Linked DNA regions of Struthio camelus. The protein of the gene in region 3 binds, or shares a complex with, the protein of the main gene of each other region. Links are inferred from orthologs where the notes say so. Each region holds a gene or a part of one and is shown on either strand. Other genes may lie near its edges. The genes, in order: LIN52, E2F4, MYBL1 and LIN54.

Region 1 (7,804 bases), on a different chromosome or scaffold from region 3:
ACTCAGCTACAGATATCTCACCAGATTGTCTTTGATGAGCTGTTGGTAACGCAGCAAGATTTGCTGACGACTCAGAACAGATGTTTCTGACCAGTTCCAAAAAGCCTTTTTGCATGAAGCCACAGCTGCCTCCATCTCACTGGCTGTGGCCTTTGGTACACGACCAACCACTTCATTTGTGGCCTGATGGAAAAAAACAAATTGCATCAAAGCTCAGCTTTCTCCAGCTATTGCTCTCAACCACTCAACTCTCCTTTCACACCACACACCTGATATCCTTATTCTAAAAGGAGTTGTATTTCCATAGGAAGAGTACAAAAGAGACTCCTCTCTTGGTGCACATGAAAGGCATAGGCTACAACTGGAGTTCTGTGTATTCAGTAGTTTAGAAACTCTGCACTCTACACATCTCAAATTAGGCACCTAAAAAGCTGAAAATTTAGAAGTGATTTAGAAATGCTTGATTTGAAGTGACTTGTCTGATATAACGTATCTTTCAGCTTCTCGCGTGGATAAGGCAAAGGTTTCTGTGGACTGTGTCCTTTTCCCTCTCTATTGTCTTGGCTCATCTGCTGTCTCTCCTGCACATTAAATGAGGCAAGGGTCCTTTGAAAAAAGTAGCAAACTGCACGTGATTGTGCAATTTGCATTCATGTTACTGTTCACCTAAATCACTAGGCAGAAGTGAGATTTTTATGATCAGCTTTAGTTCTATAATATTTTAACTTTTAAATCCTGTCTTTACCAGTTTAACCTCCTTCTAGTGCACTCTTAAAAATGAAATCTGCTTTGACATGACAAAATATCAGGTACGTCACTAAGAGAGAAACTACAAGTACAACAGGAACGAAAGGAAACAAGAACGATGGCTGCTCCACAGCCAATGGAGACTCCACAGAGACCAAATGAGCTTCATGAAAATAAGGCTTTACAGAGAAAAGCTTCAGAAACTGCTGTCCAAAGGCTTACTGCAAGGTCAGAACCTTGAACACAGTCCCATTTCCATTTGTCCTTGGTGTAGAACTGAGATGGGTGCAAGTGCTACTAATCTAAGTTAAGTTTTGCATTGCATAGCATCAAGTGTCTAAATTCACTGTGAATATTGTGGCTCACAGATAGAAGCTCTCTCAAAGGAGAGAGGAGGAGCTTCAGCTGTCAGGATGTTCCCCTTGGTCTGAGAGTGAAATCAATCTCTATAAGGACTTTTACATTTAGCTGACATCAAATCACACGAGGTTGCATACATACAGGGTGAAAGAAATCCTTCCGAAATTTGCAATACTCTTCTCAAAGCCTTTCCATGAGCAAAAGAAAGGTAAGTAGTGTTTAAACTTCCTCTTTGGATATTTGGATAAAATGGCTTTGGGTTTTACTACACAAGGGAGAGAAAGGAGGTCATCACTTTCCTAAGACTGACATTTCATATGAAGATGCAACTGAGAAGCAATTGCACAGTTCTAAATCTGTCTTATTCTCCAAGTCTAAGACTTTCTCAAGAAATATAGGTACTTTTCCCTCCCACCAGATGACTCAATGGAGGCACAGACCCTTGCTGCACAGTGACTGCTGATAGATACGCAGAGGCCATTTCACTTACTGGGTTGTGGATATCGATCCATTCAGTAGTTTTGGACTCAACAAACTTCCCATCAATGAACAGTTTGGTTGTTGGCTGTGGAAGACAAACACGGGACAATGAGTGATCTTTGCCTCAAGGTGCCTACACACTAACGTGCCTTATTACAGGCAGGCCTTCACCACTCACTGCTATGCTGCCTGTTAGAGGGCAAAGTCCCAATACTTTACAGTTATGTCCAGCTAATTCTTCAGGCTGAATTTTTTCATGCTGTCCACCCTTTCCCCCCCCCCCCGCCTTTTTTAATGGAATTGGCCATAATTCTTTCTAAAAGCAGTTCAAGAAAAAATACATTGTTATGCTTATATTCAGAAGTATTTCAGTCTACTCAATCACCCAAAGTTTACCAAGTTAGAAGACTGAAAAATTGCAATTCATAAATATTCAGAAAAAATGGTGAATATTTCCACCTCGTGAGAATTCCATGTACCCAGTGCAGACTGTACTACACACTTCATTCCCATCAAGCCACTAAGTCAGTCACCTCCCCAGCTCATAGCTGCAGGCATAAAACTGAATGGTCCTTTGGCCTTGGAACTAAAAGCAAGGAAACTACATCCACCGAAGTCACAGCGATTGTCCTGGCAGGCAGCATGGGGGACAGAACTCTGCAATTCAGGCGCAGAACAGAGAAAAGCAAAGTTTGGAATAAAAGTTCAGCTAAATTTAGGGCAGGAGGAAAAGCAGGGATAGAAGCTGTAATTATCACTGGATAGGCAACAAGACTGTAGCAAGCAGGAAACCAGAATGGGACTGCATAAATGAAGAAACTGGATACTAAGAGTACAGAGTTGATACTGGGAGGTAAGGAGAGAACCAGGAGAAAGCGGGAACCAGTTAATCATGCAGAGAACAGCGAGGAAGGATAAAGAACTGCAGGGAGACGAGGTCAGAAAGCAGTGGCGTGGGGAGAACAGATAAGATAAAGGGGAAACAGACCTGCAGTATGAAGAACAGAAATGGGACATGCCTGACAAAAAGATTAGAATATAAAAAAAAAATATCAGGGAGCTGTGTGAAGGAAAGAAATTAGGCCATAGAATTATGAGAGAGATGAGGATTGCAATGCCTTCCAAGGCATAATGAAGGGACAGAGATGAGAGGAAGAATCAGGAAAAGAAATGGGATTGGCTGGACAAGCAGTAAGAGTCAAAAGCGGATGAGAGTAGAAAAAAAAAAAAAAGCCCACGTAGCACATATCTGCAGTGGACATATAGGCTCCAAAGCTACATGACCCATGTGGGCTTCGGTACAATGGAACTTACCTTTTTTAAGCAATTTGAAAAAACATATTTAGGGAATTCCTCATGCAAGGAAAAATTACACTCTACAGTTTAGGAAATGCTAGAATCAATATTGACTGTACTTGTTCCATAAGATGCCCCTGCTCTTCTTCTCTAGAGAATGAGCCTGTTCTGGGAACAATGACTGTGGAAAAGCAGACTTTTTGGACAATCATGATTTATCTGTTCCAAACTTGGAAACTGTACAGTTGTGGATAGCAGATGAGAAAAGATACTATACTAGCTAAAGCAGTTAAATACTGCCCTAAGAGAAGCAGATTCTGTCTCTGCCATAGATGGACTACGTGAGGCCAGTCATACAACTTAACATAACCTTTTTTTCACACAGGATCATTAATCACATATTCTTTATTTTTTGCTGCTCTAACTAACTGAAGATATATCACACACAGCAAAGGAAGTCTAAAAATCAGAAAAAAACCTGGCTACTTAGTAAACTGTGTGCTATTTAATAAACACGGAGAAAACAAAACACCAAGCAGTGGTCAACCGAACTAGCATATCGTCCTTAGGTACACGCGCAGGAGTCGATAGAAAAAGTAACGTGGGATAACTGCACTAACGGCTAGAGCACAGCTCAAGGAGGGAGCGTTCAGTCAGAGCTGGTACTCCTTCACTCTGGAGTCAAACACATCTGACGTCTAACTAGTGTTTTTCTTTCCTTTCCTCCTATTGACCAAAGGGGCCCTCCGTGCCCTGTTCCCTGCGAGTCGCCAGTGTTTGCTCCAGAGATGCCAGGCAGGAGTCACGGGGAGGCGAACCGACAGAAACGACCTCAAAAGAGCAGACTGGAATAAAGTCTCTGGCTGTGTCAGGAGCAAAGCCAGAGAGGCTCCTCGGGGCTGGGGCCGGGGCGGGCTCCCCCGCCGCCCCCCGCCCGCTGGCTCTGACCCGCGGCGCCGGACTCACCACCGAGGAGGAGGAGGAGGAGGCGGCGGCTGAGGCGATCCAAGGGGCACCGGCTCTCCGCGGCAGCTGGACGGGACGGAAACACACACAAACGCGGTTCCGGGCAGCGCTCCCGACGGCGGGTCAGCGCCCCCGGCCCGGCCCGCCCCCACCCCGGGCCAGGCAGCCGCCGACCCAGCGGCGCCGCCACCGCGCTGCCCGCCCTTCCTGGGCCGCACCGGCTGCTCCCCCCGCCGCCGCAGCCCCTCGCCGCCGCCCCCCGCGCGGGGCTCCCGAGCCAGGCGGGCCGCGCCCCCCTGCGCCGCCCGGGCCGAACCGAGCCGCGGCGCGCCGCCACGGCGGGGGGAGGGTGGGGAGAGGAGCGGGGGGGTAACGGCTGCCGCTGCCGCCGCCTCACCCTGAGCGCCGCGCGCCGCCCGCCCCAGGCGCCGCGCGCCGCCGCCGCCGCCGCCGCCGCCATCCCGGGCCAGAGTGCTGCGCCGCGCCCCCCGACGGCACCCCTCGCCCCGACCCGCCGCGGCCCGAAGCACCGCCCCCGCGCTCTCATTGGCCGCTTGGGCGCCGGCCTCGCCCACTCCCCGCCCCCTCCTGGACCGCCCTCGCGGCTCTCGGCCAATCGCCGTCGGAGAGCCCCCTCGCCGCGCCCCCCGGCCCCACCGCCCACCGTTGCGGGGTGCCCATTGGCCGCCCGCCCCAAGACGCCCACTGGCCGTCGCAGCTCGGATTGGCCGAGCGTCGGCGGGCGGCCACGCCTCCTGGTGGCGGCGGCCACAGCGACACGTGAGGTTTCGGGGCTGGGCCTCGGGGGCGGGGGTTGCGGGTCACGTGGGCGGATCCCGCGGGCCGTGGCGGCGGGTCACGTGACACGGGCAAGATGGCGGCTCCCGGGGACGGTGAGGCGGGAGGGGGTGGTCGGGGTGCCGCTCCTCGCTGGTGGGTTGTGTGGAGGCTCATCCCTGTCTGTTGCAGGCGCGGACCTGGAGGCCTCGCTGCTGAGCTTCGAGAAGCTGGACCGAGCCTCCCCGGACCTGTGGCCCGAGCAGCGTAAGTCCCGCCCCGAGCCCGGTGGCCCTCGTTGGCCTCAGCGCCTCGGGGGGCCTGGTGGGGCCCCTCCGTCTCGGCAGGCGGTAGCGGCCTTGCCCATGGGCAGGAGGCCGTAGTGCTCTGTAGCCGCAACCGCTCACCTGGTGTTTTCTTTTCTTTTTTTTCAGTACCAGGTGTTGCTGAATTTGCTGCCTCCTTCAAAAGTGTAAGCAACGTTTAGTTTGCACCTCGTGTTTTCCCGTTTCCTGCCTGTTGATAGATCTGCTTTTTCCTGTTGTGAGCTTCGTGACCTTTTTCTCTAAAATATTTCTTAACTGTAACTTCAGAATGTTTCAGTATAAGCCTTTGCTTCTCTTCTTATACCTTGTTGTGAATGTAGTGTGTTGGTTCTTGGAAGAAATAAAAGATTTTTAGAAAAACTGTAGAAAATGCTGTTCTTTATGCTGTTTTCAGCTTTTGAGTGGTATGTACTGGTGTTACTTTCAAAAATTATAGAAAAAGTTAGAAAGTTAGGTTAAGTGTAGGAAAATCTCTACAGAGCACCTATTATCCTTTTATTTTTACTGTCAGTGTGAGTATTTTCTAGAATCCTAGACCACATTTTGTTTGTATGCTGCTATAAATACACTTTTCTGAGCTATGTTTTTTTTTTTCCCCTCAAACAGCCTATTACTAGTTCTCCTCCCAAATGGATGGCTGAATTAGAAAATGATGATATTGATATGTTAAAGGGTGAGTATGGGCAGTGCCTTTGAGTAGCAGGTAAGATTACTAAAGCAGATGGGTGGGGGTTTTTTTTGTTTCCTTTTTAAGGGGAGAGAAGGGACAGGTGGAGGAACAGCTAAGTAGACGATATTTTCTTAAAATGTGGTGTAGAGCAAGCTATGTCACATGAATCCACTAATATTTTTCAATGACATGGAGCACTACCAACTGCAGTGTAACTAAAGGGTTAAGGCAATAGATTCTACCTACTTGGGGTGACTATGTGAATACCACTGCTTGGCTGTGGTTCAGTAGTGCCTAGTGTACTGAGTTGTGAAGGAATGAACACAGCAGGATCGATGCTCAAAAGCTGTCCATGCTAATGATCTGGAAGAATTAGTTTACTCAAAGAATTCAACCGCTTAGAAATAGCGTAAGACAAGATCATGAAGAACTCTATGGCAATAACAAAGAAGAAAAATAGCAGAATACGCTTCCTGGGGTGATGCCTTAGGCAATGATAATGGTACCTGTTTGCATGAAACTAGACAGGCTCGCTTAAATATGTAGTGCGAATAAGCTTCTGCTAGAGAGCTTACAAAGGTGAAGATATTTTTCTCACTATCGGTGATTTTTTGAACCATTGGATCCTAGCATTTCTGGCAAGCAAAACGACTTTGAGGTTGTTATAAGTCTTTCGTGCTTCTGAGATTTGAAATGTGAGAGTTAAAGAATGTATTTTGTTCAGTGGAAACGGGTATTGTCAAAAGTTGGACTTGAAGGTGCTCTGTGAAGTAGTAAGCCCAGGTACATTGCCACTAGAGGGCTATACGCTGTTAAAAATCATGCTTTTCTGTGTTTTTAGAGTTGGGGAGCCTCACTACTGCTAACCTGATGGAGAAGGTTCGAGGCCTGCAGAACCTGGCTTATCAGCTGGGACTGGATGAATGTAAGTGCTGTAGGCAGATGTGGCTGACTGCATTGCAAATATGTACTCATCCTATATCTATAGCTGGAAAATGTATCGGCAGCCCTGGCAAGCATCTCACAGTAATAATGGTGCAGTAGGAAGTCCTCCCAAGAGAAAGAGTGCTGAATGATACTCTCTTAGCAGCTGCCCAAAGCAAATCTGTCAGGTGCACAGTGTGACTTAATGGGTCACATTTAGAATTTTGTAACTTTCAGTTTCATTTCTAATGTTGAGTTAAGACCTATTTGTGTGATAGATAAACAAGGTGGTAATTTGTGTATGTGATCTTCCAAAATGGGGAGAGAGAACTTACAGCCTCTACGACAAGAGGTCATGGTTATGCCATCTGATGTTGTGTAGTGGCCCATAGACTTCTGTTCCTGATTTATATTGGTTTAGATAAATTGTCATGCTTTGTTTAATTCCCACTTGGATATTAAAAATATTTTCAGGTTATTTATGCCAATATTTCTGTGAAACTTAAGTGTACTATCTCCACAGTGGAACTTTCACTTGTGTGTAGGATTCTGCTACCAGTTAGTGTTTATAGTTAATTTCCAGCGTCTGTAATTGGTGGTTTTTTTCTACTGTTGGCTGTGAATAGAGCTCATGTCATCCAGTACTAAAGTTGAACTGCATCCCGCTGACTAGCAGCCAATTTTTGTCAAACTTTTGAAGAAGGAATTGCCTTCATCAACACGTTCAAGGCTCTTGTTATCAGGCTGATTTAAGGGGACTGAGGTTCCTTTAAACCCTGTCTGTAGGGTACCTATTTACTTATTTAATATTTTCTGCTTGGTTTTGCTTTAGCTTAGGCTCTACTTGAGTTACTCTGGGGTAAGCACAAAGCTTTGAAAGTTTTAAAACTGTCATTGAGACTAGGAAAAACCCTTCATGTTCCTTGTTAGCTTTATATGGTGATATAAGTAACGTGGTGTGAAGCCTTTCACTTCTTTTTCAGTGGACAGCAAAAAGCAGTAGTACTATCTTTAGAATCTTACTGACTCTAAGTATAGGATACTCTAATGCTTTCTTCCCAGATAGGTTGTTAAGCATGTTTTAACACACCCCTGCATGCACAAATTCATTCTACTTTCAGAGCCTAATCTGTTAAGGCTGTATAAAGCATTTAGTAGTGTAGAAGTTAAAGTATAGTAAAGCAATATCTTAGTAAAAGACAAAGTGGGAGGATGCTGCTTATGTATTGGCTTTAAGTAAACCATAAACTTAAATGTC
Region 2 (7,509 bases), on a different chromosome or scaffold from region 3:
GAGCAGCTGCAGGGTATGGGAAAAAACTTCATGGACTGTGGGAGAGGGAGGAGAAATGACAAGATTGAGCACTGGAGTTGAAGGGGATTGGCGCTGGGGCTGTGGGCATCAGCAGGAAGATCCCAAGAAGAAGGGTCTGAGACCTGGGGCTCCGCGAAAACAGTGCTGGGACAGGTTCTGGGGAGGCAGTGGCATCTCCATCCTCAGAGACTTTCCAAACCCAACCAGACAAGGCCTGAGCAACCTGCTCTAACTTTGCCACCAAAGAGCAAAGGGGCTCTCCCTGCATGAAGCCAGAGTTGCACTTGAGCACTCCCAAGTGCCTTTCAGCCAAAACCCCCAAGGACTGGGTGAATACCTTACCTGAGAATAGCTGGGGCAGGACCTTTACCACTGAGGCCAGTTGCACATGCTCCGCCATCAGTGCCCGCATCTGCTGCAAGACCTGGAAGTGGTCAGCACTGTCGAGCAGGGCCCACCGTGCAGCCCCCAAGTCCTGGCACACACTCTGCACCTCCTCGGCCGCTGACCGCAGCTGCTGCAGCCCTGCGTTCACTCCCTCCAGGTAGGACTGGACAGTCGACTGGGGAGCAGAAGAGGATGAAGGAGCAATGGGGAAGCTCTCAAAGGATGGGGGACTCGCACACCCTTTGTTCCAGCCCTGCCAGGCCTCTGCAGCACGTGGTCTGCACTCCGACAAGGTTGCATCTGCCTCTCTCATTATGCTGCCACATCTCCCACATCTCCCACAATGTCCCTATCCCACAGCTCCTGCTCTCCCCATGTACACCCAGCCCCAAGAAACCCGCTCCAGCAACAGGAATGGCCCATTTCACCCTTTTGCTCCAGTGACAGGAATGGCCCAGATGTCTGCTTTCAGCTTTAAAATAATACTAAAATATTTGCAGGACACAGGTCCCCACTGCGCCCCCGAGACAGATTAATGGCACGAAACACCTCAGTGGCCACACAAACGTTCCTCCAAAATGGATTTCCATCTTTTCAGCCCTCCAGTGGCACTGGTACGTCTCCATGCTCTCTCCGCCCCTTTCACCTCTGGCTTCTGATATGAAGAAGCATTTTTACCCAGCATTGACAGAAACAGGTTTTCTCTGAAGCCACATTACTTAAAATTAGTCCTCTCCTGGACAATTTCCCCACAACTAGGGCAGGATAAACCATCTCCGAAATCAGGATAGCCAGGACAAGGTCCAAGGTGCTCAGACCACTCACGTCCTGAGGTCAGTGTTTCTTGAGGTCATATAAAAAAGGATCATAGAGTCACCCTGACCAGGTAGGCATGCACAGTGACCAGTTAAATCCCTTATCTCTGTGTAAAAATACTGTTTCTCCTGTGCGGATTTGCAGGCAGGGATGGGGCAGGCTGGAGCTCTTCACCTCCTCCCAGCCATAGAGAAAGGGAGCCCTTGGTGCTGGGATAGGGAAGCAACAGGGAGCACTGGTTTCTGCACATGGGATGCATTGGATATCCTTGGTATTTTGCTTCTAATTACAGAGAGAGATGCAGGAATCCCATTTTAGCACTTTAACCACACTGCAACCAAGAGGGTTAGGGCAGGAGGGGGTTCTCCTGGCTCTTTCCCCCCCCAACAACAGCATTTCTCCCATCAAAAGCCAGCACAAAGACAAGATTGTTCCAGAAGTGCAAAAAAAGTGATTTGATGCAGAAGACCAGACCCTGGCTGGGATCCCTGCATGGGAAGAGAGTCAAGCTGTGTGTGCTCATCAGGTGGGATGTGGCAAACACCCACCTTCAGCCGGGACTGGATGGAGCTGTTCCTCTGTGTTTCCCGGCTCCGGTACTGCCCAAGCCCTTCTAGTTTCTCGGGGCAGTAGAACACCCCTGAAGCCCATTTCAGAGCAGCTCCTCTTGCTAACTTCTCAGCCTTCTCCACTTCTGGCCATTCCTCATCTGGGGGTGAAGCCGGGGTTAATGAGTGAAATGTGCCTCTCCTTGTGGGGCAGGAAGGGCCCCCAGGGCCAGAGGCAGGAAACCGGCCACAAGCGGATGTTCTAGCACACACAGATGTGGGAAGCCAGACAAGGCAGCAGCAAGCAGGCCCTTCCGGGAGGGCCCCAAGAGGGATCCCAGTGACACAGGTCGGAGGCCATGCAGCAGTCATGGCAGAGGACTACCCCAAAGAGCTGCCAACTGCCCTGTCAGCTCAGGCTGTCACCAAAGTTGGGAGTGTGTCCCCTTGTTGGCCGGTGGGGGAGGGATCTCACACCACCTGGGAAGGCCTTGGCAGGGCTGAGTCCTCAGCAATGAGTCAGCAGAAGGAATGGAGGGGCGACAGCTTGCACAGTCTCTCTGCATGAAGGAGTCCCCAGAGGGGTTGATTTAGAGGGCCCTGGGGCCACCCTTGCCTGGGCAGCTCCACTACTGAAGGCAGAGTCAGACTGAGGTGAGGCCAGGAGGCTCCTGGACTTTTCAGTCTCCCACAGGCACTGGCTGCAGCTGTGTGGGGCCAGCCATTGTGTCCTGCCTTGGCCCTGGTACAGGGTATGAAGACATGCCAGTGGCCATCTTTCCAGGACTGGGGCTGAGAGTTGGCACAATTATCACATGCTCACCCCCATCCCCAGCACCTGGATTCATTGTTTTCTCCCTTCTCCAGAAGCTCTCCCAGCTTGGGACCCTCCATAGCCCCACAGGGACATCACCTAGCCCCGAGCTAGGGTCCCATGCTCCTGATGAGCCTGTCTGCACTGGGCCCGTGGACTTCAGGGGAAAGCAGCAGGTTTGGGGAAGAGCTGTGCGGCGGGTAGCACTGTCCCCAGTAAGTGCTAAAAAGATGGGCAGCTCATCAGGAAGGAGGGGAGATCACCCTGCGCAGCAAGGGATGATCCCAGCCTGCTGTGGTTATCACTGCCAGGAAGCAGGGCTGGGCTTCCACCCACCCAAAGGCAGAAGGCATTGTGCCTGGCATGGGGAAAAGGTCCATCAGATGGTTGGGCAGAGGCTGGGGGAGCACAGGCATCACTGAGAGCCCCTAGCCCTGGAGATGCACTGCCAGTAATTGTATCCCTCCCCTGCCCAGGATGCCAGCTCCGTGGGGGACCGCGCTGTCCCCATTACCTTTGGGGCTCACGGTGTGCTCATCCTCCGCAGACATGCCCATCGTCTCAGTGCTGCGTGCAAGCTCCAGGGTGCAGGGCTGGGCTGTGCGGAGGAAGCCGGCAGCCGTTTCCTCAGCGAGTGCATGCACACTCCTCAGGGGCTCATTGTGTTCTCGCAGACACACTCAGGATGTCAGGAACTGGGGGGAGCGGGGGAAGGCACTGTAGTCACTGCAGGTCGCAGGCTTTGCAAATAGAAATCATGTCCTGTGTGCCCTTCCCATCCCAACCCCCCCTCTTCCCCTCCCCCTCCCCCCCCCCCCCAGTTTGGTTCATCCTGGGCATGCAGCCAACATAGACCCAGTGCCTGCCTTGTGGGGTGGTCTCAATCACAGCTGGATGTTGCAGTGCAGGGCTGCAAAGCAGCTCGTGTGGCTCAAGGAGGGTAGTGAGGTGTCCCTAATCGGTATTGGCTGCCCAGGGGTGCCTGCCTGGGCAGTGTGAGCTGGGTTTGTGTGTTCATTGCACTTTCTGTATCTGTAGCAGGAGCCCACCAGAAGGTGGCACGGTCAGAGATCTCACTCTGCCCAGGTGAGGCTGCTGCCCTACACATCTCTGGAAACAAAACTACCAACGAACGGTTGCCTGGATGAATGCAGCCTGAGAGGACTTTCAGGGTGCAGGGGGGAAGAGGGTCAAACCTCAGCAAATCCGAGGTACGACTTGAAGGCAGGGTATACAGCAGGGACACCCAGTTCATAATCTACCGTGATGACCAAACTAAACGTAGCAGGTACCTCAAAAAAGGCTCCCAAAACACCAAAGCTGCCATGAAGTTTGAGGAAAGGTCTAATACCTGGGAGCAAACCAGAGACCACTGCGTTGCTGCTGTATAAACGCGACACCGAGTTTCCCCGAGGCTCCAAGAGTTGTTACCCCAGCGGCACAAAGTCCAGCTGGCGGCCAGACACTTGTGGTGTCCCTCAGCGATCGGTCCTGGGGCCAATGGCCGTTCAACGTCTTTATTAGCGAACCTGGCTGAGGGGACAAAGGCGGAGGGGTGCAGGGCGCGCCTCTGCGACGTCCGTGTCCGAGGCCAGCCTTCCCCGCTAGTCGGCAGCAGCCGCCCCGGCACCCAGCGCGCACCCCACCCATCCTCGCCCACCCCGGCCCCACCTCGCGCACATGCGCATGCGCGCTGCCCCGCCTGGCGCCCCCACCGCCCCCACCCCTCAGGCCACCCCGGAGCGGAAGTTCCCGTCATGCCCCGCGGCCCGGAAGCGGAAGCACGGCGCGGCCGGAGCCGGCGGCGGCGGCGGTGGCGGGCAGATGGCGGAGTGCGGGCCGCAGCCCCCCGGGGGTGGGAGCGGGGCTGCGGGGGCGCCGAGCCGGCACGAGAAGAGCCTGGGGCTGCTGACCACCAAGTTCGTGTCGCTGCTGCAGGAGGCCAAGGACGGCGTGCTGGACCTCAAGCTGGTGCGGGGCTACCGGCGGGTGGTGAGGGCTCTCCCGCCCCGCCGCACTGGGGCCAGCATCAAGGGGAGCTCCGCCGGTGTTGGGAGTCGGGAGCCGGCGCAGCTGGGGAGCTGAGGAGTTCTGCTGGAACTCCTGCGGGCACGGCTGAGCTAAGCGCCGGCAAGCACAGAGGTGGCTGGTCCTCCGGGGAGTGAAGCAGGTTTTGTGGGGGAGAGCGTAGGTGGAAATGGCGATCTCTAGTGGAGCAGGTCTAGGGAGGTGAGGCCTCCTCATCAGGCAGATAAAGAGCTCAGCCTAGGAGAGAAGTCCCCGGGAAGAGCTGGGGATGTGGCAGAGCTACCAGACTGCACATAGAACATGCAGAAGTGGCCGGGTACTTACCATCACAGTGTAGATATTCCCTCCTGCAGCTTCCTTCCAAATAGTTCTCATCACTCAGCGTTTGTATTTCTATTTGAACTGTGTTGGGCTATCTTCTTCTCTTCCACGTTCTTGGCCAGGCTTTGGAAGGCCAGGTGCAGGTGCTGTTCAGTCCAACATGCCTTCTGCCTCATGTTTGCTCTGTCACATGGTGCCCCAATCTCCCAAAGCTGCTACTTGAACACAGACGTTGTAATGATAGATCCCTGTAATGCCTCATCGGAGAGCTGCAGAAATGGAGAAACTTGCTCCTTACTGCATTTTGGCCTTCTAACATACAGCAGGAAGGAGAGTGAAATCAGATTCATCTCTGCCGGGACTGTGCCCTGATGCCTTTATGTTATGGACAAGTGTTCTGCAAGTGCACCTTGCTCATGCATTTTCAAGATCTTCACCTAGAGAAAGGAACTCTCTTAATGAAATATGCAATACTTATATCTAGGCCTCCTCTGCATATGAAGTTCTTTCAGTGTGGTTTATACCAATCTCTTATGTGGCTATGTGTGTGAGTTCACTCTGACAACCCCTGCATAGGCTCCAGGCAGGTGTGGGAAAGCCCTAAAAATGGAGGGTCGGGAGGAGTCTTCTGGTTGTAGACTACAGTCCTCTGCTATGGCAAATTGTTAGCTCTTTGGATTTTGTCAGAAGAGCAATATTTTCTTGCTCAAAATATACATTAACTAGGATTCATATTTGTCAGTGTGATTTGAGCAGTAGTGCTGTGCAGGGTCTCTAATGCCCTGGTCCATTACCGTGAAGATGTGTGAGAGAGGAAAGTCATTTCTGTGCTGACCATCTGTGTCTGACTGGCTGTGCAATGCCATCTGTAGTATTCTAGCATGCCAGCACAGTGCCAGCTAAACACCTAGTGCTGCTAAATTGCCCTATGAAAGTGGAAACGAAAGGCTCAACATTGTCTGGAGTATCCAGCAAGCTGAAGAGAACTGTAGTAGTGGAACCCTTGGGGCAAAACAGCAGCGAGCAAGGCAGGGAAGCACGAGGGTTGCTCAGGAGCTGCGTCCTTATAACTGTACTTATTCTTCCCCCAGTGGAGACTCTTTCATATAAAGAAATCTGCCTTTTGAGAAGGTGTTGATTCTCTCTATCAAATGGCATGAGATGTAGATAGAAAAGACCTTTTAAACATCCACTTTACTGAACAGTGGTCAACTGTATAGGCATCTCTCTACCTTCTCCTGTCCGTTCTCATCTGTCTTACACTGAACAAGCACTGAATTTTTAGGCTGCCAGACTAGTGTCTTCTAGCACAGCTTTATTGTTGAGGAACAATGATTTTTGCACCAGCCCTGAATGAGGTGGCTGGAATTAGATTTGTGGTTAATGGGAAGGTCTGTGGGTAAGAAAAAGAACAAAGGGGCAGTGACTAATTCTGATTGTTGTAACGATGTTAAGAACATGGCTTTGTAGTTTGAGGCGCTGGGGCAAGAGAGGCATGAGGTGGGGAGCAAGGGGTGGCTGAGAGTTTGGAGTTAAGTTTTCAACTTTTCTGCAGGCTGCAGATACCCTAGCGGTGCGGCAGAAACGACGAATATACGATATCACAAATGTCCTGGAAGGCATTGGACTGATCGAGAAGAAATCGAAGAACAGTATCCAATGGAAGTGAGTGACAGAGAAGACTAAATTGTTCATAGATCCCTTTTAGTCCAAGGTCCTATCTCACAGCTGTCTTTTCCCCATGCAGGATAGCAGGGCTTCATGTGGTTGTTGTTTAAACATTGTGGTTAAAATGCCCTGCTCAGGGAAAGCTTCCTCAGTGGTCTATGCATGCTTGTGCTTCCCCGAGCTGAGCTGTGCTGTTGCTAGTAATGAGGAAAGCTGAAGTACATGTGGCATGTCCCTTTTCTAATGGAGCTGTTATCTGAGCACAGATGAAGTATTTGTAGTGCCTTGGATTAGAAAAAATGCCTGCTGTGGCACTGGGGTGGGAGAGTCCTGTTAGCCGGTGGGATGTAGGAGGATGTGCTAAATGTTGCTATGCTAGGAAGGGTGTAGGACAGGTACAGGTAAGGCTTTCTGGGAGATCTGAGCTTGGCATATGGTAGAGATGGCAGCAAGAGAAATGTTGGAGTTGGTTTGGATGGCTCAAGACGCTGATGCATGTTATTCCTTTTTACATTGCACAGAGGAGTTGGTTTGGATGGCTCAAGACGCTGATGCATGTTATTCCTTTTTCACATTGCACAGAGGGGTGGGTCCTGGCTGCAACACACGTGAAATAGCTCACAAACTCATTGAGCTGAAGGCAGACATAGAAGACTTGGAGCAGCGGGAACAGGAGCTGGAGCAGCAGAAGATGTGGGTCCAACAGAGCATCAAAAATGTTACAGAAGACGTGCAGAACAGTCGATATCCTTTGTGTGAACTGATTACTCCATCTCCTTGTTAACTTGCTGGGCTGGAAAGCAGAGATGTGAGGGCTTGGTTGGCAGACGGCCTTGCTTGGGGGGGGAGTTGGGGATGGTGACCTTATGTTGCTAGAGGATCTACACTGAAAGGGTCAAGGAACAG
Region 3 (7,944 bases):
TTAAAAAAAAAAAAAGTGACAACTTCAGATAAACTAATCGTTACTTCTAAAAAGAATTACTGCATCATAAAACATTAACACTTATCCTTAGATCACCTGTAGATTTGCAAGGAGATGAGAAGATATGACTTATGTTCCTTACACATTAAAGTGTGCATGTATTTGAGCTATACTAGGGTGCCTAAACTCAGTGATCAAACACACACAGTATGACAGCTCCCTAGTTTCTCCAGCTTTCTAGACCAGCAGGAAGAAATTGACTTGAATTCATTTTTGTTTCATTCAAGGTTAAAAGTTTTAATCAATATTCTAAGTGTAAAATGGTTAGGTGTTTAATATTAAAGTTCAAAATATTTTTCACTGACATACTGAAAGTGTTAGGTAAAGATCAGTGCTCTATAAACTTCCACAAAGGTACACCACAGCTTTTTCCCCACATTAAAACTAACAGTTTGGAAGTCAGAACAGTACAGGCATTACTGCATAGTCATATATAATCTTCTGCAACTTAGCAATGTTAGTTAGCTCTATTAAAATAATTAGAACTGAAATAATATCTCTGTTTAACCCATTGTATTCCGTTTTCAGAATCACTGCTGTTGAGAGGAATAATTCACATGTCCCTTCTAGGTCGAGCTGCCTTCACATTCAGGAAGATAACAAGGAACCATCTGATGCTCAGTTCGTGTTTGTAACATCATGCTAAAAGCTTAATAATAATAACAACACTTTAAAAAGAGGGGAAAGAAAGAAAAGGATGCTGGACACAAGGCGCTGGTGCCGAGGAGGGCAGCGGAAGCCGTGGGGGCCCAGCTGGCAGCGGCAGTTGGGACGGATTCACCCTCAGGTTCCAGGGAGGCGGCGCATTCCAAGCCCTGCCCGCGCCCCCCGGCCCCCTCCTCCCACGTCCATGGGCGAAAACCAGCTCACCACAGAGCAAGCCCCCTTGCACCTCGGGTCAACACGAAGCGCCGTTTACTTTTTGGCCTCGCTTAGAATGGGACACCAGTAGACTGTAAGTTAAATGTATGTGAAGGTCTGGGGCTATTAACTTCAGATATTGCTTTAGGGGGAAGAAGAGACTGTCAAATGTGTTAGAATTGTCAAAGGAACTACAATAACCTTTCTCAGTTATGAAACTGCAGTGAAATATTGCATGAGAGTGGAACGCTGCCATGTAATTTCATCAAACAAGAAATTTGAAACATTAGGGGGGAAAAAAAAGTACTTCAAGAATTCTGTGCTAGCTATCTTCAAATAAAACTCACCTTGATTTTCTCTTCCTTTATTTTGCAGCTCTGAGTTGGGTACCATTGAAAGAAAAAAACAGATCTTCCAAATGCGAAAAAATCAAGCATAGTTTAACAGAATTAAACTTAATACCATGTGGAACAAAACAGTTATATTTCCTCCTTACTCTACATCTAGATTAATGATCTTGAAAGCATCTCGATGTAAACTTATACTATGATGATTAGTTTCAGGAATGTCATCATCATACACTGATAAGGTATTCTTCTAGGGTTATTGATCTCGAACCAGAAGTTCCTCTGCGATCCACAACTAGTTTTATTTTCAAATATAAGATGAAAGCACTTCATATCCGTAAGGGAAAATACAAGTTACAGCTTTGTAAAGATGAAATTATCGGTTACAATACCATAGATGGAATTTCTGAAGTTACGGAATGCAAGTTAAGAGTAACAGAAAACACTCTCTATGCACTGTTGTCTTGCAGACTGCTAAATTATGACAGTTCCAGCAGCTACCCTCTGCAAGCAAAGCCTCTTAATGAACCTTTCCCCATTTCTTACACAATTACAGCCCAAAAGTACTGCCTTCTTGTTTGACTTTCAGTTTTGCAGAAAAATAATATTAATTTGTGAACTCTTTCACTCTTCAGAAGAGATGCAGCACAGGCAGGTTTAGTAGATTTTGTAAGTGAAACTTTGAAGCCATCCTCACTTCCACAGGAAGCATGGTTTCACAGCAAACCCCAGATGCCATAGATAGGAAAAGATGCTAAATGAGTAATACTAATGTGAAAGCTTTCTCAGTCCCAATCCTTTTTTAAAGCACTACTTTATCAGTTTTCAGAAACTGATTTTCTATTCAGGGCAAAAATAACCATGGCAATAAAACAGTTCTCCAACATTCATCTTTTAAATACAAAGTGAAGACACATGTGTTTTCTTATAAATGAAAGAAAAGTGTATCTGGGGCTGCTGTTGAAGTTTGAGAGAAACGCTCTTCAGGAGATTTCAGGCTAGCTTATGACATCCTCAATCAAGGAACATGCCAAGTGAGAGTAAACGGGTTCATTTAAGATATTCGGCCAAGCAGCAGGCCTGAACATCAATTTCAAGCCTCAAGCCTGACATGCAGGCAGCGCAGAAACAACTCAGAAATAGAAAAGCAAGAAATAACACACCAGCAGCAGGAAAACAAGCAGCAGGAAAAGTCACTGTGGAAGCAAAGTTGTCGTGGGGGACAGGGCCAGCGACCGCAAGAAGCAGGAGCCGAGGAGGTTGCCTAGGTAAGCTACAACAAAGAGGCAGAGCAAAAAAGGGCGCAGGTGGGAGCAGCCTACAGGTGCGAGGAGCAGTTTATACCCGCGAGGTGATGCGGGGCAGCCAGGGGGAAGACGGGTGCCGCGCCTGTGGGGGTGCAGGGCCAGGAGGGCTGAGAGGGACAGCGGGAGCGACACCAGAGCGCGGGAGGCCACGAGCGGAGCCGGCACAGCCCGGCCCGGGGAGCCGCGGAGGGGGGGGGGGGCGGCACCGGGCAGGCCTGGCCGGGGGAGGGGTAAGATGGCGCAGCGCTCGCGCAGCCACACTCACCTGCGCGGTCTCTTCGCCATCCTCGGGGCGCACCATGGGGGGGGGCGCCAAGGCAGCAGGGTGCAGCCCCCGCCCGGGCTCCTCCTCCCGCAGCCGCCCCGCTGGCCGCCCCGGGGCGGCGGAAGGGACAGCGTCGCGGCGGGCGGCGGGCGGCTGGCGGTGACTTCAGGCGGGCGCGGCTCCTCTGACGGCTCCCCTCTCCCCGCGCAGCTCCGCGGCATCCAGAGCCCGCTGGCGGCCGCCCTCAGCCCCGGCCCGGCCCCGCACCCGCCGCGGCAGGCATGGCTCGGCCTCAGCCCGGCCGCTGCCCGCAAGCACGGGACGCGCAGGGGCCCCGCTCTCGCCCAGCTGCGCCTTCTCGCTCCTGTCAGAGCCGCCGCGGGCTCCGGCGGCGCCCTCCCGCCCCGAGCCGCTTCCCCGCCGGGCCTCGTCTCGCCTCCTCCCGTGCCGTGCCGCCTCAGTCCGGCCCGGCCCGCTGGCCGCCCCGGCCCTCCGCCGGCCCCGCGGTCCGGGCTGCGCCGCCACCGCCGCGCTCGCGGCGGGTTTGGATGGTGCCGCCGAATCTCGCGCCCAGCCTCCTTCCAGAGCCACCGTTTGAATCTGCGCAGGCGGACTGCCGCCCCATTGGCTGCCGCCGCCGCACGCGACCGGGGCGGGGCCGCGCGTCCCGCGGGACGGGGGGACGGGGGGAGGGGGAAAGGGGGGCGGGGCCGGCCTGCGACGGGGACGGGGGGGGCGGCTGGCGCGAGGCATGACGGGGGAGCGAGTCTTCGCCGCTGACAGGGCGGCGGCGGCGCCGCGGGCGGGGGCGGCGGAGGCCCGAGCTCGGCTCGCCGCCAGCCCGCTCCCCCCCCCCCCCCCCCGCCCCGTATAACGCCGCGTCGCTGGGGGCGGGCAGCCCGGAGCCGCGAGCGGCGCCTCGGCGCGGCGCGGTGCCCCGGGCGCTGTCAGACGTGGCGCGCGCGCTCCTGACTGGCAAAAAAAAATTAAAAAAAAAAAAAAAAACCGACGCTTTCAGCGCGCCGCCGCACGGCGCAAAACCAAGCCTCCTTCGAGCCGGAATCGAACCAGCGACCTAAGGATTCCCGCGGGCGGGCGGCGCCTCTACAGTCCTCCGCTCTACCAGCTGAGCTATCGAAGGGAGCTGCCTGAAGCGCCCGTCCCGCGCCTTACAGCCTCGCCGCGCCCCTCGCGGTGGCGCCGGGGCTGCGGCCGACCCCCACCTCGGGCAGCGCCGCCGCCGAGCAGCAGCAGCAGCCGCTGCCGCCGCGACAGAGCCCGTTACAGCAGACACTGCTCTTAGTTCTTGCGCTCTTCGGGAAGTAGCGACTTTCACACACCTTGTAATAAACAGTTGTATTTAAAAACAAAAACAAAAAAAACACCCGAGGCTTGAATTTTTATATTTGTGTGTGTGTGTATTTTCACGTTCACTCTAAGTACCTCTATGCCATTTTTATTTCAGGAACTCGGGACTTAGTCTAACTACGCATTTCTTCCACTGTGTGCAGCCGTAAGCAAAAAGGCCATGAAAACTAGAAAGTGAAAAAGAATATGAATATATAGTATTGTGATGATGAATAGATCGTGAATATATAGAATTATTAATTTTGTCCTAGATGAGATACACTTAAATGCATAGTATTTCTCACCTTAAGTGTTTACCACGGATAAATCACGTGCCTAAATCCACAGCTGTAATACTAAAAGCCCAAGGTCTGACTAGCCCTGGACGTGCCTATATTTCACAGACACTGCCAGTTATGAACTCTAAGATCCCTGGAGGCCGATGAACTGCCTCGGATCAGACCAGCTTTAGATCAAGATCTTTACCCGGTCCAAGTCTGGCAAAGCCAGCGCCTAGCTAAAAACCTGCGGCAGCCGTCCCCGTCGTCGAAACGTGACCCAGGAGGGCAACGGCTGCGGTGCCGGTTTGCACGTCTCGCGTGCTGCCGCTGTCCTTCACACCGCCGCTCCGGGCTGAGCCAGACCCACCTGCCCCTCTGCTTCAGCTCAGCGTTTCCCACCTCCCAGGAAAGCGCATCAGAATAAAGTCCTCGGGCCTGGAAATACTCCTTATTCCTCTTTTCAAAAGTTGTGTGAAGGAGAGGAGAATGAGGAGGGGGGGAAAAAACCAAAAAATAAATCATGGTAGTCGTAAGAGCGAGTAAAAATGAGGGAGGCTGAGTCCATCCGTAGCGGTTAGGTAGCCCCTGGGAGGAAGCAGCAGGGTTGCTGCTTCCAGGCCCATCTGTATGTTCCCAACTGCTAGTTTAATGTAAATATATAGGAACAGTCTCTCTTTGGGCCAGTGACTCTGCAATTCTTTGCCAGGCAGGAGCACAGTCTCAGCAAGCAGCTCAGAGATAGCCCTTCCCCCTTCCCTCCCGTTTCCCCCTCCTCCAAAAAATTGTGATGCCCAGTGGTTAAGCACTTGCTTGAGAAACAAGAAATGCGGGTTTACTCAAGCCCAGCCATCCCACTTATTGGGCGATGGCCCTAACCACCACGCTGTTGTACAAAAGGAGAAGCACCCAAATGCCTCACCACATCCTCTTGTGGCTGTGTAAACAGAAACACAAACCCTGCAGGGTTCCTCGGAGCGAAGGCCTGCCCGAACGATAGGGGTTGTGAGCAAGTGAGCCAAAATACCTGGGAGCACCTTCCCCTTGGAGTCGGTGTTTAAAGATCTCCTTTCCTCGGTGATCAGCTTTTAGGCAGGCACAGCATAAATGCACTGATTCAGGCAGGACTTTGCTGCGCTGCTGCTGTTTCAGACGCCCGAGGTACTGCAGGTACCACGCTCATGTCTTCTGATTGCATTTAAGGGATAAAGTATCTAAAAAGGGATGATGGATTGCAGTTCTTGGGTGCAGAGGCCCTAACACTCAGCTCTTTACTGTGATTTTTACCTTCTCGAATGGTGCCAAAGGAGACATCAAAACAGCACATGGTTTCTTCTTTTAAACACATGTTTTGTCTTCACTTCAGAGACAGATTTACTTACAGAAGATTGGTAAACACCACAATAGAGAAAGTAACTTCCTGAACATGCAACTGCCATGAAATTCAAACTAGATTCTAGTATAATCTGTGTGTTTTCTCGATATCCCCCTACACCAAGTCTTAAGCTGCAAGCTAGTGGTATGCATGAAGCCTCATTCAAACAAAACTTTGAAGCTGAGTTATAAGCATAAAGAAAATGTAACCGTTTCAAAACTCAAAAAATTATCGGAAGCTGAAAATTCAAATAGGGATTTTTAGGGACATTTATTTAGGCGATTTGGTGCACTCTCAGAAGCTCGAGAACAGCGCAGGCATGAATTTCAAGGTTTATTAGAGCTGGGGCCTAATGCCAGCATGTGGAGCTCAGTGAAGGAGAAAGGTCTACCTCTGTACTGGAACGTTTTTCAACATACTGTATGCCACCATAGGGTACTCTCATTTCTTCTACAATACGATTAAGTTCTTAAGCCAATAAGTGCAACCTCCATACTCTTGCACTAGAGTTTTGAAATACAGTGGCTCAACAACAGTGACACAGCAGTTAACCTTGATTGCTATTGGCATTTGATCACAGGGAAAGAAAAAATTTACTCCATTTTATAAACATTAACTGTATACGACAGAAACATTCAGGCACCTTATTTTGTTCTCAGCCCAGGCAGCGGATGCATTTCTTTGAGAAATCTGTAGTCATTTACATCAGAATTGGTAATATTTTCCCCAGAATGTAACATGTGAGCAGCAGCAAATGATTTTGATTGCTTTAAGGCTTATTGATGGTCATTTTGAATACTAGCTGGAATAATAGATTCATTTGTATGTTTTAAACCCAACTGCATTCTCCTTTGAGATATTTCAGCACTGTGGAAAGATATGAGCTGTGAAATTGATCTAGTCTAACAATACCCCGACGTCACGCAAAAGCTACACAGGAAGCAAACTTACAAAGAAATAAACCCATATTGTAAAGTTCTTCAACTATCTCATGTTATTTATATACACGTCATCCATGTTTGGATAACACACCCAATATATAGTTTCTACTTAATTTATGAATAGTACTGGATCTACAGGAAAAAATAATCACCCCACATGCGCTCCAGCTGAAAGCATGTGCCTATTTCATACATTTATATGTGTGTGTGTGTGTGTCTGTGTGTGTGTACACATATATAGGTGGGATGTCCTTGCCCCGGCCCTCCTTTCCCAGCCCCAATGAGAAAGTTGACTGACAACCCGGGCGAGTGAGAAACCTTGGCTTGCAGCGCCCCCTGCGCATTCACATGAGAACCTCAGTCCTTGGTACATCCTGAAAACCCCAGGAGGAAAAAAAAACCTTACAACTTATTGTCACAGGGGTGAACCAGTGTCATTGCTTCTTTCACAGAGAAAAAAAAAAAAACACACACAATTGGTTATTTAATTGCTGTTGGAATAGTCTTTGTACGAGTTGTCTTTGATTTCTGCTTGCTATATAGGTGTTGAGCACCGACCTGCACTCACTGTAATACTCTTTTTGTATCCAGAGACGATGAGACTGCAGGTTTCCTCACATTAAAGCTATGACAAGAGTCTTTGAACTACAAAGGTTGGAATCGAACAGTTTATGGAATGAAAACCACTCTGAGACAGGATTTATGTCCTTCAGCCTCGTATAATATAAAATGTCTTGTTTTAGTGTTGATTAATATATAATTCAGTCAAAAAAAAAAAAATCAAAGGAGCCTGAAATATTAAGTGCTTAATTAACCTTCCTGCATATTCCCAGAGTAATACATATGCTCTTAATTTGTAGGAAATAGATCCTGAAAGCCTTAGCTGAGTCAAAGTACTAAATTTGCAAATACTGACAGGACTGCTGTAAAAAAAAAATTAAAACGAAGTTTGCCATGACATGCACTAAACATTCCTTTTTGGAGTACATCAGTAAACACATATGCACCTCATACATACGAGGATTTAATTATTTATTTTTATTATATTATTTTACTGTGTGACAAGGTCTTACATTCTGGAGTTTCTTGAGCTCCTATCTGAGGAAAAAAAAGAATTGGGGAGAAACCCCCTCTCCATCCCCTCTCAACTTTGACAGCTTTAC
Region 4 (7,374 bases), on a different chromosome or scaffold from region 3:
AAGTTACACCTCATACCAAGTCTGTGAGATACGAACGGCATGAACTAATCCAAAAACTTCTAATTTGTAGTGCAGCTGTCTGCAGGCAAAGTAGCAGTGCTAGAATCTGGGTTTTATAAGCAGAAGTGTGGTTAAAAGAAGTAGCCATGTGATGCCTTGAATTTAATTTCTGCATAATCACTATAACATGCAGGGAAACATATTCAGTTAAGCTTTAGAGTGAAAGCTGCTTAAAAAGACAAAAGGTCAACATGCAAATACAAATCATGACAGCAACTGCGTGGTTTTTGTCCTAATATTAGATGCAGTAAGATGTTTATATAAGCATCTTCAGTAACCACTCTCAGCAAATACTGAGGTACTTGTACAAGAAAACCAAGGACAGACTTGAAAAAAGAACTGCAACGTATTCAGCAGTTTACTGTAGAGGTGGGATTTCTAGGAAACTATTTTTTCTGGTACAACATTTCTGGGCTTAAAGAGTTTTAAATGTGGGTTGTTTTTTTTTTTTAAATGTTAAGTAGCAACAGAAGCTACTTGGTAAAATACTTCTCTTTTCAATCACTTGCCCATGCCATTAGTTGGGTAATATGTAAAATAATCAGTACCAGTCTGTATCTTGACAGCTTTTCCAGTAGCTCAAGTATTGTCTCATTGTAAGAAGCCATTTTCTGGTAGTGGAGGAATTACATGCCTCGCATCCTGATTAAGAAACAAAGACTGTATTCTTTGCACAGTCCCATATCCTCACAGCATTTGGCAAAAGTTTTGCTCGCACAAGAATGCCAAATTGGACTTTAAGTAGGAACATCTGTTTTGAACAACAAATTTGAAGACTAACAATATTTAGCAGTTACACCGCAAAGCCAAGCCTGTAAACCAGAAATGCTTTTCACTGATGTCTTACCTGCTCCTCAAATGAAATGACCCTAGGCTGTATCTTTTCCAGGGTGAAGTGGTATATTTCTTTGGCTGTGCTGTCAGGAAGACTTGGAAGATGGGTACAGAAATCTGTCAGTAACTGACGTGAGATCACTAAACTGACGTTTTCATTCACCACTGGTTCAAAGACACATGGAAGAAGAATATAAGATGGAAGAAACGCATGTCAGCACTTTCACTGTAAGTGGTCTATAGCCATTCAATCACTTGCTTTAATATTAAATTTGAGCTTCTTCAACTTTTAAATCTAAATTTAAATTATGGGCTGCCCCCGCCCAAAGATGACTTTCCTTCTCTCACAAACCGATGCTATCTGTTTACACTAGAGATTGCCAGAGATTAGAACTGAGGTGAATAGCAGTGTCTTTCTTGCTCTGATTTATCGCCTAGGAAGATGTTTCATTCTGAATCGCTGTTCTCAGCTGCTAAAACGTTTCAGACAAAGTAAACATTTAGTCTAAGTTTCACTAAGCTTACTCTAAAATTCTAAATCGGATATAGCAGATATAACTTCTTTAAGTACTCAATAAGCCAAACAACTAATACAACACCAAAAAGAAATCAAACCATTTCTTCTTGGCAATCTTCCCCATTAACCTGAAACTGGAAGGAGAGAAGAGTTGTTTCTTTAAAGACAGCTTTCTATCCACTATCCATTTTACCAGTCAACAAAGACTAGTTTACATTTGTACACAGTGCTTAGGTCTACCTTCAGACACTGTAATACTAATAGGTTTGAAAGTTCCATTAACTCAGAAAACTTACAAGTCTGAATATGCTGATGTTTGGTGCCTCTTCTAGTCATGTTTAAGTTCTAATATGACTAGAATATTATACATTTATTTAGCCTCATGCAGAGCTAACAAATACGCAATCCCACAGGTTCAGACCTTCATTTAGTCAGTGTGTGAACAGTCATACCAGACACACTTACTTGCTTCTACAAAAGCTTTCAAAGCTTCAAGTTGCTCGACGCCTGATAGCTGAATGGCTTTTTCCAATATTTGACGATATCTGCCCACAGATTAAAAAAGAAAAAGTCATATTTCATATTTTTTTTAAATTAAGTATTCCTGTTTCTGTGCTTATTTTCTTCCTTAGAGTGCTTTTTCTATTTACATTTGCTGTGTTTTCGAGGTGCGTGTTTGCCCAAGTGTTTATGCTAAAATTCCAGGAACGTTCGCCTGGAACTGGTATCTGTGTCTTTTTAAAGTTCCAGGACTAGTTTCCACCGTAACATAGTTACAAATCTGTTAGTATATCTGCAATGAAAAATGCCTTTTAAGAAAATCAAAACCCCAACCTATTCCTGGGATAGTGCTTTTCTGTCTTGCCATAAAGAGAAAGCACAGGAAACGTAAAGAACGTTATATCCCTCGCATATTAAAATCAGTAACTGGTGACAGAAGTGCAAAAATGGCAGATTCAGGGGGAACAAGAAGCAGTGGTGGGTGAGAGATGGAAGTAAACAGTATACTATAGACACTTGATGGTATCATAGGCAGGGAATATACCCTATTTTTATAAAGTATTTATTATTGAAATGTTTAAATATTAACAAATCATACTCACTGCAGCTTTCATGTAGTAGTTGTATAAGGCCGGTGCAACTCTTACTGGGCCATAATCTTAACATGTACAACATTGAAAGGAGTTACATTCATGTTGAAGCTGCATTTTCAGGGGAACGTTTCAGGAATTTTTAAATATGAAGTGCCTAGATCTGAGGCAATTCCTCTAGAAAATAAGGAATTGGACTGGTAATGAAGGAATTTCAAGTGAATTGAAAGAAAGAAACTAGGTAATATACTGCACAGTGATTAAGTCAAATCCCACATCTCATATCCAAAATACCTTACTTAAATTTAAATTTTCATTGTTGACTTTTTTAGTAAAAACACATTGGAGGAGTTCTGCACGCATATGAAGCAATTGTGGGAAAGAAAATCCCCACGGTCTATCACTTTTGCTCAGTTTTCGGACAGATAGCTGAAATCGGACAGGCACCCAGAATGGGGTGGGGTGTAGGAGTTACAGTGAAGCGGTAAGGCCCAGCACAACTGCCAAGGGGCCTGCGCTAGGACAGTGAGAGCACAGAGGCACTTTTCATTGAAAACAATAATAAAGACAAGCAGGAAAAAGAGGACGAATCATATTATTTCAAGAGCTGACCCAGAAGCACCCTACCGTCAGGGCGAAGAGCTATGCCTGCTGGCCCGGAGGCCGGGAGCCCGCGCAGCCTTCGACTTGCAGGCGACAGCAGCCCCTCCGGCGACCCCGGATGGCGCTGGCGGCGAGGACATCGCGCCCCGCTTCCCCTCCCCTCAACGGTCCCGCGGACTCGCCTCAGCAACGGTCGCGCGACTCCTTCCCTCCCTCCCCCACGGCCGCGCGGACCCTCCTCAGCAACGGTCGCGCGGCTCCTTCCCCCTCACCAACGGTCGCGCGGACCCTCCTCAGCAACGGTCGCGCGGCTCCTTCCCCCTCACCCCAACAGCCGCGCGGTCTCTCCTCAGCAACGGTCGCGCGGCTCCTTCCCCCCCACCCCAACAGCCGCGCGGACTCCCCTCAGCAACGGTCGCGCGGCTCCTTCCCCCCCCACCCCAACAGCCGCGCGGACTCCCCTCAGCAACGGTCGCGGGGCTCCTTCCCCCCCACCCCAACAGCCGCGCGGACTCTTCAGCAACGGTCGCGGGGCTCCTTCCCCCCCCACCCCAACAGCCGCGCGGACTCCCCTCATGAACGGTCGCGGGGCTCCTTCCCCCCCCACCCCAACAGCCGCGCGGTCTCTCCTCAGCAACGGTCGCGGGGCTCCTTCCCCCCCCACCCCAACAGCCGCGCGGACTCTCTTCAGCAACGGTCGCGCGACTCCTTCCCCCCCCCCTCCCCAACGGCCACGCGGACTCTCCTCAGCAACGGTCGCGCGACTCCTTCCCCCCCCCAACAGCCCACTGTCGCGCGGACCCTCCTCAGCAACGGTCCCACGACCTCCCCCCCTCCCCAACGGCCACGCGGACTCTCCTCATCAACGGTCGTCCGGCTCTTTCCCTGCCCCCCCCCCCACCAACGGCCGCGCGGACTCTCCTCAGCAACGGCCGCGCGGCCCCATCCCCTCTCCCCCCCAAAACGGCCGCGCGGCCCCAGCCGTTGCCCCCAGTCGCCGCTTCCCCGCCAAGGGAAGGAGGACGCCGGCACTCACTTGCCCGCCAGGTCCTTGTGGGAGCCACTGGAGTTCATCAGCTGCGCCAGGTCCTGCTTCACCGCGGCCGCCATCTTCGCTGCGGCGCCGATCAGGCCCTGCGGCGGCGGCCGCGCCTCCTCCTACCATAGAGCAGCCGCGGGAGGGAAGGCTAGAGAGGCGCCGCCGCTTCTGCCCCCCCCGCCGGGTGGCGCGCCGCGGTCACGTGGCGCGGGCGGGCGGGCGCCGCCGCCGGCCTGTCACGGCGGCACTGCCTGCCCGGCGCGTAAAAAACACGCCCTGTACCGAGCGGGGCAAAACACCGGGCGGCCCGGCCGGCTGTGATGGCGGCGGGGGAAGGCGGCCGCAACCGCGGCGCTCCGCATCTCCCGAAAAACGCACGAACTCATTTATAGACGCAGTACGGCCGCACCCAGCCGCATATAACATACAGAAATGCATATGTGCGCGCGTGCCGGGGGGGAGGCGGGGGTGGGGCCCGCGCCCCGCCGGCGGCGCGCGCGGGCCCCGCCCCGGAAGCAGGGCGAGCCGTGGGAGCGAACGAGACCGAGGGTGGTGGCGGTGGGGAGGGGGAAGAGGAGGCGGGAGTGTGAGGGAGCCGGAAGCGCGGGGCGGGGCGGCGTGGCGCGCGCAGGGCGCTGCGCCGGCGGTTGCCAGGGCGGCGCTGCGCAGTATTATGGGATGCGGCGGTGGAATGGCGCGGGGCGCGTGATTTTGAACAAACACGGCGGCTGGTGGCGGGCGCTGCTGCCGCCGCCGCCGCCTCCGCTCCTGCCGCCGCCGGGCGCGGTAGCGCGGGAGCGCGGCGGCGGCGCGGGGAGGCGGGGGAGGAAGAGCGGCAGCCCGGTGAGTGCTAGCGCGAGGGGCGGGAAAGCGGCGGCGGCGGCGGGGGGAGGCGGCGCGCACCGGGCCCTGCACGGTGCCGGGGGGCTGGAGGAGGCCACGGCCGGGAGGAGACACCCGGTCTCCCGGCCGCGGCGGTGCCTCGGCGCTGACAGCGGCGTCCCGGCCGCCGCCCGCCGAGAGGGCGCAGGCCCGGCCCCGCCGGCGCTCGCTCCCCGCGGCGGGGCGGGCTCCGTCTGCTTGTGGGGGCTCCTCGGGGTGGGGGGGCACTGGGTCGCCCCTCCGCCCCCGCTGCCCGGTAGCTGTCTTGGGGGGGCTCCGCGGCCCGCTGATGAGCGCGGGCTGCCCCGCTTTGGCGTCTGCAGCTGCCCGTGTCCCTCGGCGGAGGCCAGAAGCGGGAGACAGCAGGGCAGAGCCGTCATCTGTGCTGCTTCGGGCTGTCGCCCGGGAGGAAGTAACTCCGCAGCCTGCGTTGGCTTTGCATTTCCTCGGAGCGCACCGCAGGCCGGCCGCGGAGGGAAATACGGATGGAGCGACTAAAGGATGGTGTTGGGGTGGGGGAGGAAACGATGGGCTAAACGTGCCTCTCCTCGGAAGCCGAGCGAGATGCGCGCTGCCCTAACGAGCGTCCTTTGCCTTGCGGCTTCCCGAAAGAAGCCGCAGCGCAAGCGGTAGCGGAGCGACGGGATTCAAGGTGAAGCAGCGACGCCAGAGCAGCCGCTGCCGCTCCGCGCCGGTGCCTCGGGGGGGGGGGCGGGGGGCGGGCGAGCGGCGGGGGGCGGGCGGCGGGGCCGCGGCGCCGGGCGGCGGCGATGACGAGGTGAAAATGGCGGATCTTTCGAAATACGGTCGCGGCCGCTGACGGAGCGGCGGCGGCGGCTCCCGCCCGCCCCGCTGAGGTGAGGCCCCGGCGGCCGCGCGCGCGCGCCCGGGGGGTGGGGGTGGGGGGCGGGAGGGGGCCGGGGCCTAACGGTCGCCGGCGGCCGTTGGCGGGGCCGGGCCGTTCCAACGGTCGCGGCGGCGGCTTCCCTCCCCCGCCCCCCCCCCCCGGCCTCCCCTTTTTTTCCCCCGGCCGCCGGCTCTGGTTGTCGCCAAATGTGGCGGGTGTCGAGGGGAGGGGGGATCCCCGCCCCGCTGCCGGGGCCGCGCCGGGGGGTCGGCACGGCCTCGGTCCTGCTGCCCAGGCGTGTCGGGGGAGGCGGGGGGGTGTTTGGGGATGACGGGAAGCACCCGGAAGGGTGAGGGGTCCTCGGCGCCCGATGGTCGGGCAGGTGTCGCCAGGATGGCGCGTGGCGGTCCCCTCGCTCCGGCGCCGGGCGGCCTGCTCCGTAAGTTGCTCGCGTCAGGAGGCAGGACAAACTGGTGGGTGAATTAGGCCCTCGGACTCTCTCATCCCGTTACTCCTTGACAACACGTAACCAGCTCAGGTTTGGGTCGCTGGCGAAGGACTGGCTGGCCTCTCCTGCAACTCCGTGTCTGTGGTGGACTTTGCCCTCCGTGAGGGCAGGTTGTCTTTGTGTTTGGAGATGCTCGGCTTGGGAGCCACAGTTGGTCGTTCAAAACAGGTTGTGGTAACAAGTGCCCGCGGTATTGTCCGTAGTTCCTCTACCGGCTGAAGTGTGAAGGTGTACCTGTACTTTCCGTCCAAAAGGACGCATGGAAACGGAGAATCCGGTGGTTTGCAGTGAATTAGCTGGACTGTCTTGCCAAGTAGTCTGAGCTTCTCACTTCATCGTTTTTGCTTCTCGTTCGTTATGGTGTATATTGCTGGTCAGAATGTGTTGTTAATTATTGGTGGCCTTTACTTTTCTGCACATCGTGTACTAATTATGTAACTTCTGATATGGCAGCTTTGAGTTCTGGAAAGCATTGAGTGTTCAGAGCGTGTGAACTTGTCGACCTCTAGAACATAACGTGAACGCGAGAAAAGCTGTCAGAAGATGTTAACTAAAGATAAAACAGGTATTTGAATGACCTTCCATAGGTTCATCCTTCTAAACGGTTGCCTGAAACACATTAGAATTGTTATAGGAAATAGTACATATAGAAAAATAATACTGAATGTTCTTTACCAAGTTTACATAAAGTTAGTTAAAATAAGCAAGTCCTAATATACCTGGCTGGTTCATTCAGAATAGCTTTTTGGCTTAGTGGGTTATCGCCTGAGAGTATTTGGTCTTTCAGAGAAATCTTTCCTCAGAGTAAAATGCCTTACATATGTCCTTTTATTCCCTAAAACATCCAATTTACATGTGTACTACCGAGTAATAGGTGTTGGTTTTGTATCATGTACATACTTACATTTAACCAATAGAAAGAGATATGCCTGTATTGTCCATAGGCAAAGCACTGCTAAAGGTTAACTTGGAGAGTGTCTTGAAAAATACGGC

Evidence for each region.
Region 1: MYBL1 (region 3) and LIN52 share a complex: the UniProt entries of both Homo sapiens proteins name them as parts of the DREAM complex. The link is inferred for Struthio camelus from reciprocal best matches to the Homo sapiens genes MYBL1 and LIN52.
Region 2: MYBL1 (region 3) and E2F4 share a complex: the UniProt entries of both Homo sapiens proteins name them as parts of the DREAM complex. The link is inferred for Struthio camelus from reciprocal best matches to the Homo sapiens genes MYBL1 and E2F4.
Region 4: MYBL1 (region 3) and LIN54 share a complex: the UniProt entries of both Homo sapiens proteins name them as parts of the DREAM complex. The link is inferred for Struthio camelus from reciprocal best matches to the Homo sapiens genes MYBL1 and LIN54.

Annotation. Positions count from the first base shown.
Region 1 is NC_090946.1:57,307,213-57,315,016, forward strand, and holds the start of LIN52 (protein lin-52 homolog), read left to right. Parts: upstream 1-4,637; 5' UTR 4,638-4,723; coding exon 4,724-4,742; intron 4,743-4,818; coding exon 4,819-4,893; intron 4,894-5,060; coding exon 5,061-5,098; intron 5,099-5,558; coding exon 5,559-5,625; intron 5,626-6,463; coding exon 6,464-6,547; intron 6,548-7,804. Other genes in the region: ALDH6A1 (methylmalonate-semialdehyde/malonate-semialdehyde dehydrogenase [acylating], mitochondrial), read right to left, coding at 22-183, 1,598-1,672, 3,850-3,915, 4,247-4,309.
Region 2 is NC_090951.1:24,434,040-24,441,548, forward strand, and holds the start of E2F4 (transcription factor E2F4), read left to right. Parts: upstream 1-4,361; 5' UTR 4,362-4,410; coding exon 4,411-4,578; intron 4,579-6,490; coding exon 6,491-6,600; intron 6,601-7,185; coding exon 7,186-7,347; intron 7,348-7,509. Other genes in the region: EXOC3L1 (exocyst complex component 3-like protein), read right to left, coding at 1-35, 364-583, 1,773-1,933, 3,101-3,143. UniProt on the Homo sapiens protein: Transcription activator that binds DNA cooperatively with DP proteins through the E2 recognition site, 5'-TTTC[CG]CGC-3' found in the promoter region of a number of genes whose products are involved in cell cycle regulation or in DNA replication.
Region 3 is NC_090943.1:132,429,905-132,437,848, reverse strand, and holds the start of MYBL1 (myb-related protein A), read right to left. Parts: upstream 3,007-7,944; 5' UTR 2,861-3,006; coding exon 2,841-2,860; intron 1-2,840. UniProt on the Homo sapiens protein: Transcription factor that specifically recognizes the sequence 5'-YAAC[GT]G-3'.
Region 4 is NC_090945.1:10,330,153-10,337,526, reverse strand, and holds the start of LIN54 (protein lin-54 homolog), read left to right. Parts: upstream 1-4,346; 5' UTR 4,347-4,541; intron 4,542-4,762; exon of another isoform or gene 4,763-4,987; intron 4,988-5,347; exon of another isoform or gene 5,348-5,678; intron 5,679-5,771; exon of another isoform or gene 5,772-5,883; intron 5,884-6,313; exon of another isoform or gene 6,314-6,834; 5' UTR 6,835-6,924; coding exon 6,925-6,946; intron 6,947-7,374. Other genes in the region: COPS4 (COP9 signalosome complex subunit 4), read right to left, coding at 908-1,059, 1,877-1,956, 4,142-4,215. UniProt on the Homo sapiens protein: Component of the DREAM complex, a multiprotein complex that can both act as a transcription activator or repressor depending on the context. In G0 phase, the complex binds to more than 800 promoters and is required for repression of E2F target genes.